Cricetulus griseus: one gene and its partner. The protein of the gene in region 2 binds, or shares a complex with, the protein of the main gene of each other region. Links are inferred from orthologs where the notes say so. Each region holds a gene or a part of one and is shown on either strand. Other genes may lie near its edges.

Region 1 (3,813 bases), on a different chromosome or scaffold from region 2:
ATCTGTACATTCTTTCCCATTTGTCTAAGTTTAAGAGGTCATTGTTTTGGCAACTGTCAGTTATCTGTGTCATTAAGGAAACCATTACAAACTCCTTTACAACGTGGGGGTCATCCAAGTACAATGAACCATGTGTGCAACTGTCAGCACATTTTTGCCAACAGATGAATTTATATGATGGTATCACTCTGAAATCAGTTTGCAGAAACACATGGCATACTAGAAAATTCCCAGTATTGTACCGAATAGAATATGTTTGTCAATGTTTCAGCTGCATCCTTAGCTGACCTTAGCATGAAAAGTTTTGCCTCATTTAAATGTCCAAAATATCTCTCTCAAGCAAGCCAGGCATGAATAAACTTATCAACAAATACACAATGAATAAATAAAAGGACACCCATTTAAACTGCAATGTGATGGTTGAAGGCCATTTGTCTAAGGACTCTTCTAAATTCCTGAGTCTTTTTATGCTGTTAAATCACTAGTAAAAATCAGTTGAAGCCAGGCATGTTAGTGCTGTCTTTAATCCCAACACTCAGGAAGAAGAGGCAGGTAGATAAGTTTGAGGCCAGGCAAGTCTACAGAGTAGTTCCAGGACAGTAAGGGATGTTACACAGAGAAACCCTTTCTCAGAAAAACAAACAATCAAACAAACAATCAGTTGAAAGCATAGTATTCAAGACCTTGATTTTGATAGAGTGATTAATTTCATGATGGAAAACAAGAATTTTTTCAGGATTATTGCTAGTCTTCAATTCTTATACAGAGTAAGCCAATTGTAATGATGGAACTAATGAAGAATTAGAGGTTGTTCTTCAGAGAATCAGCAAAACTACCAAGCAGCCAGGGCAAGTCCTCCAGCAGTGCACTTGCTGAGCCCCAGCCTTTCACCACATCACAGGTACCAAAAGCTTCTCACTAACTTGACAAGTGTCATCACAAAATAACACTATTTATGTAAAACAAATGTCTGCTGAATAGGAATTACTACTACTTAGTTTGCCCTGTTCCACTTCATAATACGAGTAGGAACTGGCAGCAGTTGTTATGTATTTAATATCATCTGATTGAGCATTGGCCATAGAAAAGAACACAATTAATAAAACTGTAGTTGTCAACTCAGATCTCCTTCACCTATTTTTAATTATTATTTTAATAACTGCAATATATTGAAAAATATGCATTGTAGCTATTGTGACTATGTATCCCTTAAACTGAAATTACAAAGCCAGCCATTATACATTATTCTCCAAAATAACACATATTTGAAAATAATTTAATTTATTTCTTCAAAGATTTCTCAGATTGATAATTCCGCTTTACTATTCGGAGTTTAAAAGGTTGCTTTAAGAGCATTTAAAAATTGGATTTATCTAAAAAGCAAATTCTTCATTACTATCAATGAGCCTAATGAAGTAAGTTTCCCCTTTCTTAAGATGTAGATCTATGATTAATAAACCAAGAGCAAAAGCAAATTTAATGTCTAATTAATTTGGGCACTATGTAAAGACAGTAAGCACAGTCTAATAAAGTAGCCAGAACCTTAGTCAGAACTGCACAGAAACAGCAGATATGCTTGTCTAGAAAGCATGGAACCTTTGGAAAGCTGAGACACAGAGTTAGCCCTCCTTCATTATTTTTAAGTATGACAATATAAATAATATTCCCTTAGTCATTAATCGTATGTACTACTATACCTAACTATGTTGTTTTAAAATTGCAGATATAGGGAGCTGAAGAGATGACTCAGTGGTTAAAAGCACTGGCTGCTCCTCCAGAGGACCAGGGTTCAATTCCCAGCACACATGGCAGCCCACAATTGTCTGTAACTCCAGTTGTAGGAGATTCAAAACCCTCACACAGACACACATGCAGGCAAAGTACCAAGACACATAAAATAATAAATTAAGAATCATTAAACAACAACAATATAATAAAACAAAATTTCTAAGATATCTAAGAAAGAAAACAAATCACTTACTGAATAGCTAAAGGTAAAAGTATTGCTTTCTTTCTGAAATTCTGTATTTTCCCATATTTACTTTTGAGCAAGTCAGGATGCAATAGTCTAAAACTCTTTATCTCACTTCTTTCAAAATTGTTCATTCATGTTATTAACTGCAATACTTAAAGTATTTTAAATATTGAAGAGTACTTTTCACAATGTATTAAAAGAAATGCTTCATGAACTTTAAACCTGAAGCATTGTGAGCTGGTGAGATGGCTCAAAGAAAAATGCTTGCTAACAAGGATGAAGGACCAAGTTCCACCACCAGAGGCCTTGGGGAAGGAAAGAACTGATTCACAAAAGTTGTCCTCTTGGCCATCACATATGTGATTCAGCACACACACACACACACACACACTCATGCATGCATATGCACAGACACATCCATACATACAGAAAACACACATAGAATCGCATTTTACATATATTTGAGGCATATTAATGAGTGTACCAACTAATTTCTTGGTATTTATTTCCCGAAGTGCTCTAAGAATAATAGAACTGCTACTTGAATGTGAAACAAAATCCATCAATAAAATCAAATTTGTGGGAAGCTGTACTTACTGAGACATCTTTCAGTTCTTTCTCAAGGGAGAAATGGCACGACTCTCTAGAAAAGATGAATTTGTATGTGTCAGATCCTGATCCTGAAACCAATGCTTTTCTCAATTCATCAGCATATTTTTCTTTCTCCATAGCCATGTCATCAGCTTCTTGGGAAATCTCCGATTCAGAAACTATGGGAAAGATTAATAAAAATAATGAATAATAAGTTTCTATTGGAAAACAAGTACTTAGTTGTTACTACTACTTTATCAAATATAACAGGTTTTTGAAAAAATAATAAAATCAAAATGTTTCCCTGTGGCTTTTTAAAATACCTTTAGTGCTATTTGTCCCTTTTTCCTCCCTCTCCTGTTCTCTCTCTCTCTCTCTCTCTCTCTCTCTCTCTCTCTCTCTCTCTCTCTGTCTCTCTGTCTCTCTTCTCTCTCTCTCTACATATATATATATATATATATATAATAATATATATATATATATATATATATCTTCCCCTTCAGTATTTTCTCCTTTGCCCTTTTAATGCACTTCTTGTATCCTACAACAAGCTCTTTTTCTTCCTCTCCAATCATTACACCCCTTTACTTTCCCAACTTCTGTAGTTATGCCAAACTACATACGCAAATCTATGTATCCAGAGCTAGGAACTGTCCGTGTGTGTGTGTGTGTGTGTGTGTGTGTGTGTGTGTGTGTGTTTAATGGATTTATGCCACATGGATAATAACACTCCCTGCAGGAACAATTGATTACTAAACAATTACTCCAGAGCCAGGCAAGGAATGCCTTCAAACTGTTGGTCAAGGGACTTAGAGAAACACCAAACATAAGATACTTCCATTGTCCTTGGCTACACCCCTACAACTTTAGAGGAAGTCGATATTTCTGAAGATAACATACACTTCCCATACAGACCTTAAGGAATTGAACCAGTACTGACCTGAAAGCTTTCCCTCTGAGGATTAACACTCATAGTATCAGAAAATGCTATGCAACCTGACAACAGACAAATGTAATCAACAGTTCTATACAACTGGAAAGTCTACAAAGCAAAACAATACTTGGCCTGCTAAGATATCCCCAAAGGTTAAATAGTTCTTTTTATCTTGGTAATGGTAATAATCATCAGCCATCTATGGTGTACTCAATAAGATAGAAGTGATGCCTGGTACTGTAAACCTAGTCAACTATCAGAGGGTGGAGAAGACACAGACCCTCGAGTAGGACTGCTGTTTCCCTAAATCAAT
Region 2 (4,508 bases):
TTTCTTCTTCCTTCCTTTTTTCTTTTGTTTTTCAAGACAGGGTCTTTCTACTCTGGCTGTCCTGGAACTCACTCTGTAGACCAGCCTGGCCTCAAACTCAGAGCCACTCGCCTCTGCTTCCCTAGTGCTGGAATTAAAGGCATGCCCCACCACCACCCAACAGACTCCTTGTTTCTTAATGGTCAAACTATCTCTTTAATCTTTACCACAGGAAATGTGGCAGCAGCCATCCCTTCGGAGCCTGAGCTGAAGGATCAGGCCACTCCCTTGTCTGAGAACAGTGGTCAGCCCACCAAGGGAGCTGGTGGGGCGGCAAAGGCAAAGCAGCAGCTGGGGAGACAGCAGCATCCCAGAAAGCCCTTCCAGAAACTGAATGGCGTCTCCAAAGGGCTAGGTGCAGAATCCACTGCACCTTCTGTCCCAAAGGCCCAAGTGTCTGCCCGGCCCCAGGAGAGCAGTCAGCCTGATGGAAAAGCCGCAGTGATCAGGAAACCAAAAATGGCTAGGAAGCTAAAGCAAAGGGGACCCAAATCCAAGTCCTCCAAGGAAGCTGCTCTCCCAAAGCAGAAAGCCCCTCCCAAGGGTGTGGACTCGGAAACACCTGTTGTGCCTTCACCCTCTGAGATTTCCCCAGGGCTTAAGGACTGTGGTCTTTCCCTGGGGAAAACCAAAAAGATTGAAAAAGCAAAGCAGCAGTTACCAGATCATCCTGCCAAGACCAATGCCTCCCTAAAAGAGGATGATGCCCCCAAGGGACCCCAGGTCCCCACTGGGTCACCCCACGGTTCCACCAGACCCCCACCAACGAAAAGGAGGAAATTTGTGAAGAAGGGCAGCAGCCAGCCTTAGACGGACTTGGAAACTAGACTGTGCTGGTTCTCACATTGTCTCTGGATTGGAATTCTTACTTCCTGCAATGATGGTCTCCCCACTGTGCATACATATGAAATTTAATATACATATTTTCACCCCTAATCACTGTTGTGTTGTTTTAGGGTGCTGGGTATTGTCAATTTGTAGGAAGGTGGGCCTGCGATCGATGCTCTTGCCGGAAAATTGAATGATGGTTCAATATAGGTCAATGATAGGCTCCTTCCATTTCTTGGTCTCCTAGGGAAAAAACCACAGAATCAAATCTAGGGTACTGGGGACAAGGAGATGGCAGGGATGAAGGGAAGTTTTCCACTGCTGGTGCCCCTTAGGTACCAGAGGGCCTGGAATCGTAGGCAGTGGCTAGTTCCCCGGGGAAGGGCTAGTCGGCTTCCTTCTAGTGTTGACTCCACAGACCCGGAAAGGTCCAGGGCTAAGCCTCTAATTAGGATCTTTCATTGGCTTCCTCTAGTCCCGCCCTCACGACCTCTGCCCTCCTCCCGGGACGTCTGATTGGTTGTTCGTATCCGGCAGACGCCTCATTGGCTCTTATGCTCGCCCTCCGCTGCACTGGTCTCCATCTCCCAGCAGAAGGCGCAGCCATGAATCCGTTATTCGGTCCCAATCTCTTCCTCCTACAGCAGGAGCAGCAGGGCTTGGCCGGGCCGCTGGGGGACCCTCTGGGAGGGGACCACTTTGCCGGGGGAGGGGACCTGCCCCCGGCTCCGCTTGCCTCGGTGGGCCCCGCTGCCTATTCGCCTCCTGGGCCTGGTCCGGCTCCCCCTGCAGCCATGGCTCTCCGCAACGACCTGGGCTCCAACATCAACGTGCTCAAGACTCTGAACCTCCGGTTTCGCTGCTTCCTAGCCAAGGTGCACGAGCTAGAGCGCCGGAACCGGCTGCTGGAGAAGCAGCTGCAGCAGGCTCTGGAGGAGGGTAAGCAGGGCAGGCGGGGCCTGGCCCGCCGCGACCAGGCGGTACAGACCGGCTTCATCAGCCCGATCCGGCCCCTGGGGCTGCCCCTGAGCTCCCGGCCAGCCGCTGTGTGCCCCCCGTCAGCGCGGGTACTGGGCTCCCCCGCCCGCTCGCCGGCCGGACCCCTCGCTTCCTCTGCGGCCTGCCAGTCGTCATCCTCCACCTCCACCTCCACCTCCACCTCCACCGCCTTCTCCTCGTCGACCCGTTTCATGCCCGGCACCATCTGGTCCTATTCACACGCCCGCCGGCTTGGACCGGGACTGGAACCCACGCTGGTGCAAGGGCCTGGCCTGTCGTGGGTACACCCTGACGGGGTGGGCGTTCAGATCGACACCATCACCCCCGAGATCCGCGCTCTGTACAACGTGCTGGCCAAAGTGAAGCGAGAGCGGGACGAGTACAAGAGAAGGTAGGGACCAGGAAAGTAGGGACAAGGTTCAAGACATGCCACACATAATAAACACGGCTGGGCGGGGAGTTAGTGGGGGTTCCCAGGCCGGAGAACTCGGGGCCCAACAACCATGGCTCCTGCTGGGGCAGCAGTTGGATGGATGCATGGGTGGATGGATGGATGCATGGATGGATGGATGGATGGATGGATGCAGGGGCCCCAGAAGCCGCAGACAGTTCTCATCAGGCTTGTGACTAGAAGCTTTCTAGAAGAACACTGGGAATTCATGCTTTTCTTCGGGCATGTCTCTCTGTCTTATGCAGGCTGTAGTGTTTGCATGACTCTGCTATAACTGTGGGGTGTTGTGTGGTATGAAAGGGAGACGTGTCCGACCGAGAGAGCACTGCATCTGTGGGGTCGTGTCTGGCCCGCCTCAGACCTTGGGGCAATTTCAGGATATAAACTCCACACTTGAGGTGAAGGATGTAGTTTTAATTTTGGAGGAAAATTAAGTGAAATTGGAGTGAGTGAGTGAGGAAGGGACTGCTTCTGCCCAAGGTTTCCCTTAAAGGAAGCCCAGGTCTCATGTTGGTCCCATTTGAGAGGCTCAAGGCTCAATGCTCTCAGAACCTGAGAGCATTGCGTGGGACAGTTAAACAAACAGGGAAAGAAAGACCAGAAAGGGTACAGGCTCTCCTAGGACGAGGAGGAGGGATGGTAGTTGTTATAGAACTGGTAGGGAGGCTGTCGCAGAAGAGTTGTGAACAGAGAGCCAGCAGGGGGATGGAATAAGAAAAACTTGGGAACATGGGCACACCCTACAGTAATAGAGTATCTCAGGACCAGCCCAGTGTATTCTGAGGATGAAGGTTTGGCTATCTGAGAGGAACCCCGTCCCTAACAGGTTGGCACAAGAGTTAGGAGGAAGGGATGTCACATTGGAATGCTGGCTCTGTACCAGGGTGGGTGGTAACCAGGCGATAGGACAGAATCACAGGCAGAGTGAGGACTTTGGAGGTTGACCAGGCCGTGGCTGAGGAGGAAGAGGATGGCAGTCAGGGAGGCCTAGGCTTGGGGCCTCAGTATCATAGCTAATGTGACCCTTTCGGGCCAGCCTGGACTGCCTGTGAAGGCCAAGGTGGCAAGGGTTGCTGTCTGGGTAGCTGTGTGTGGGACCGTCTGGAGGCCCTGGGAAGCTGTTAGCATCCGCCCGATTATGTGTGTCTGCGCTTTCTGAAGTTCAGTCCTCCCTCTGACTTCCATGACTGTGGCCATGTTATAATTATCTTTGGGCTTTTAGTTGCCCCAGCATCTAGGTACCACCCAGAACTAGGCTGCACCTAGCTTTGCCCCCACAGGGCTTAATATAGGCGATGAAACACTTGACAGTTCTAGAGTTCTGCTATAATCCTAGGAACAGCTGCTCTTCTCCAGAGCATCGTTTAAAACAGAGGGTATTTGTCCTTGGTGCAGCTGTCCAGGGCAGCAAAGAGTTATTCCCTGGGATTGATTAGCTCATCACCCTGCAGCACGTTACTGTGCAGTGGCCCCGTGACTAGACTTGCACAGTATGTGACACCCTTCCACCCCAGAGCCCCTGCCTGCCTTCTGCGCTTGTTATAGCAACACCATGCGCCCCATCTTTAGCCTGGACAGCATGGGGAGCTTGAGTACCAAACTGGGCATGAGCAAAGCCCCACCCCCAAGTCCTATTGTCAGCTCTTTTGCCTGTGTGACCTTTTTCTTGGGGTTCAGGTTTTCCAACACAAGAATGACCCCTGCCTTTTTTATTCCACTCAGAGATAGGATTTATTTGTAGGAGAGACCTCTGGTAAATGCAGGATGTACAGTAATTGCCCAAATTCTACCCAAGTTATGGGAACCTTGCAAAAAATGAAGAAAGGTGAGAGAGAGTTGGATGGAAGTCATCATACTGCAGCCATTTATGTGTCTGGGTGGAGAGCAAACAGAATCCTCATGAGCCTCCCGATGATTCATTCTCAGACCTTCTACCCGGTGTGATCTCATTAATCGTCATCTTGCCTTAACATTCTCATGTATTACTCGGATTTAGTTAGTTCATTATCAAATAGGATCTCTGGCTCTTCCTGATGCATCTTGGCCAGGGGTTTAACCTCTTGTCAGTCCTGTGGGCTCCCTCCAGAGACTCGCAGACTCTGGGCACACGGGCAACCACTTCCCATACTTGCACCTTGTAGATGAAGAAACCAAGGCCCAGCAGAGATGAAGGTCTCCTCTAAGAAAGTGT

Evidence for each region.
Region 1: the proteins of Iffo1 (region 2) and DNA repair protein XRCC4 are in contact, whole or in part, in a crystal structure (PDB 6ABO), measured with the Homo sapiens proteins. The link is inferred for Cricetulus griseus from reciprocal best matches to the Homo sapiens genes IFFO1 and XRCC4. Residues at the interface, in NP_001317253.1 of Homo sapiens: Arg469, Glu470, Tyr473, Ile477, Gln479, Ile480, Glu481, Glu483, Leu484, Ala487, Lys488, Asp490, Met491, Arg493, His494, Leu495, Tyr498, Met501, Lys505, Leu508, Asp509, Met512, Cys515, Arg516, Leu518, Ile519, Thr520, Gln521; in NP_001304941.1 of Homo sapiens: Trp155, Val158, Gln159, Phe162, Glu163, Cys165, Val166, Lys169, Glu170, Glu173, Leu176, Tyr177, Phe180, Val183, Leu184, Lys187, Lys188, Lys190, Ile191, Leu194, His195, Lys197, Leu198, Ala201, Ala202, Arg205, Glu212.

The regions. Positions count from the first base shown.
Region 1 is NC_048595.1:308,960,437-308,964,249, forward strand, and holds part of DNA repair protein XRCC4, read right to left. Parts: intron 2,746-3,813; coding exon 2,573-2,745; intron 1-2,572.
Region 2 is NC_048601.1:21,280,606-21,285,113, reverse strand, and holds the start of Iffo1 (intermediate filament family orphan 1), read left to right. Parts: upstream 1-1,432; 5' UTR 1,433-1,472; coding exon 1,473-2,257; intron 2,258-4,508. Other genes in the region: Nop2 (probable 28S rRNA (cytosine(4447)-C(5))-methyltransferase), read left to right, coding at 212-849. UniProt on the Homo sapiens protein: Nuclear matrix protein involved in the immobilization of broken DNA ends and the suppression of chromosome translocation during DNA double-strand breaks (DSBs).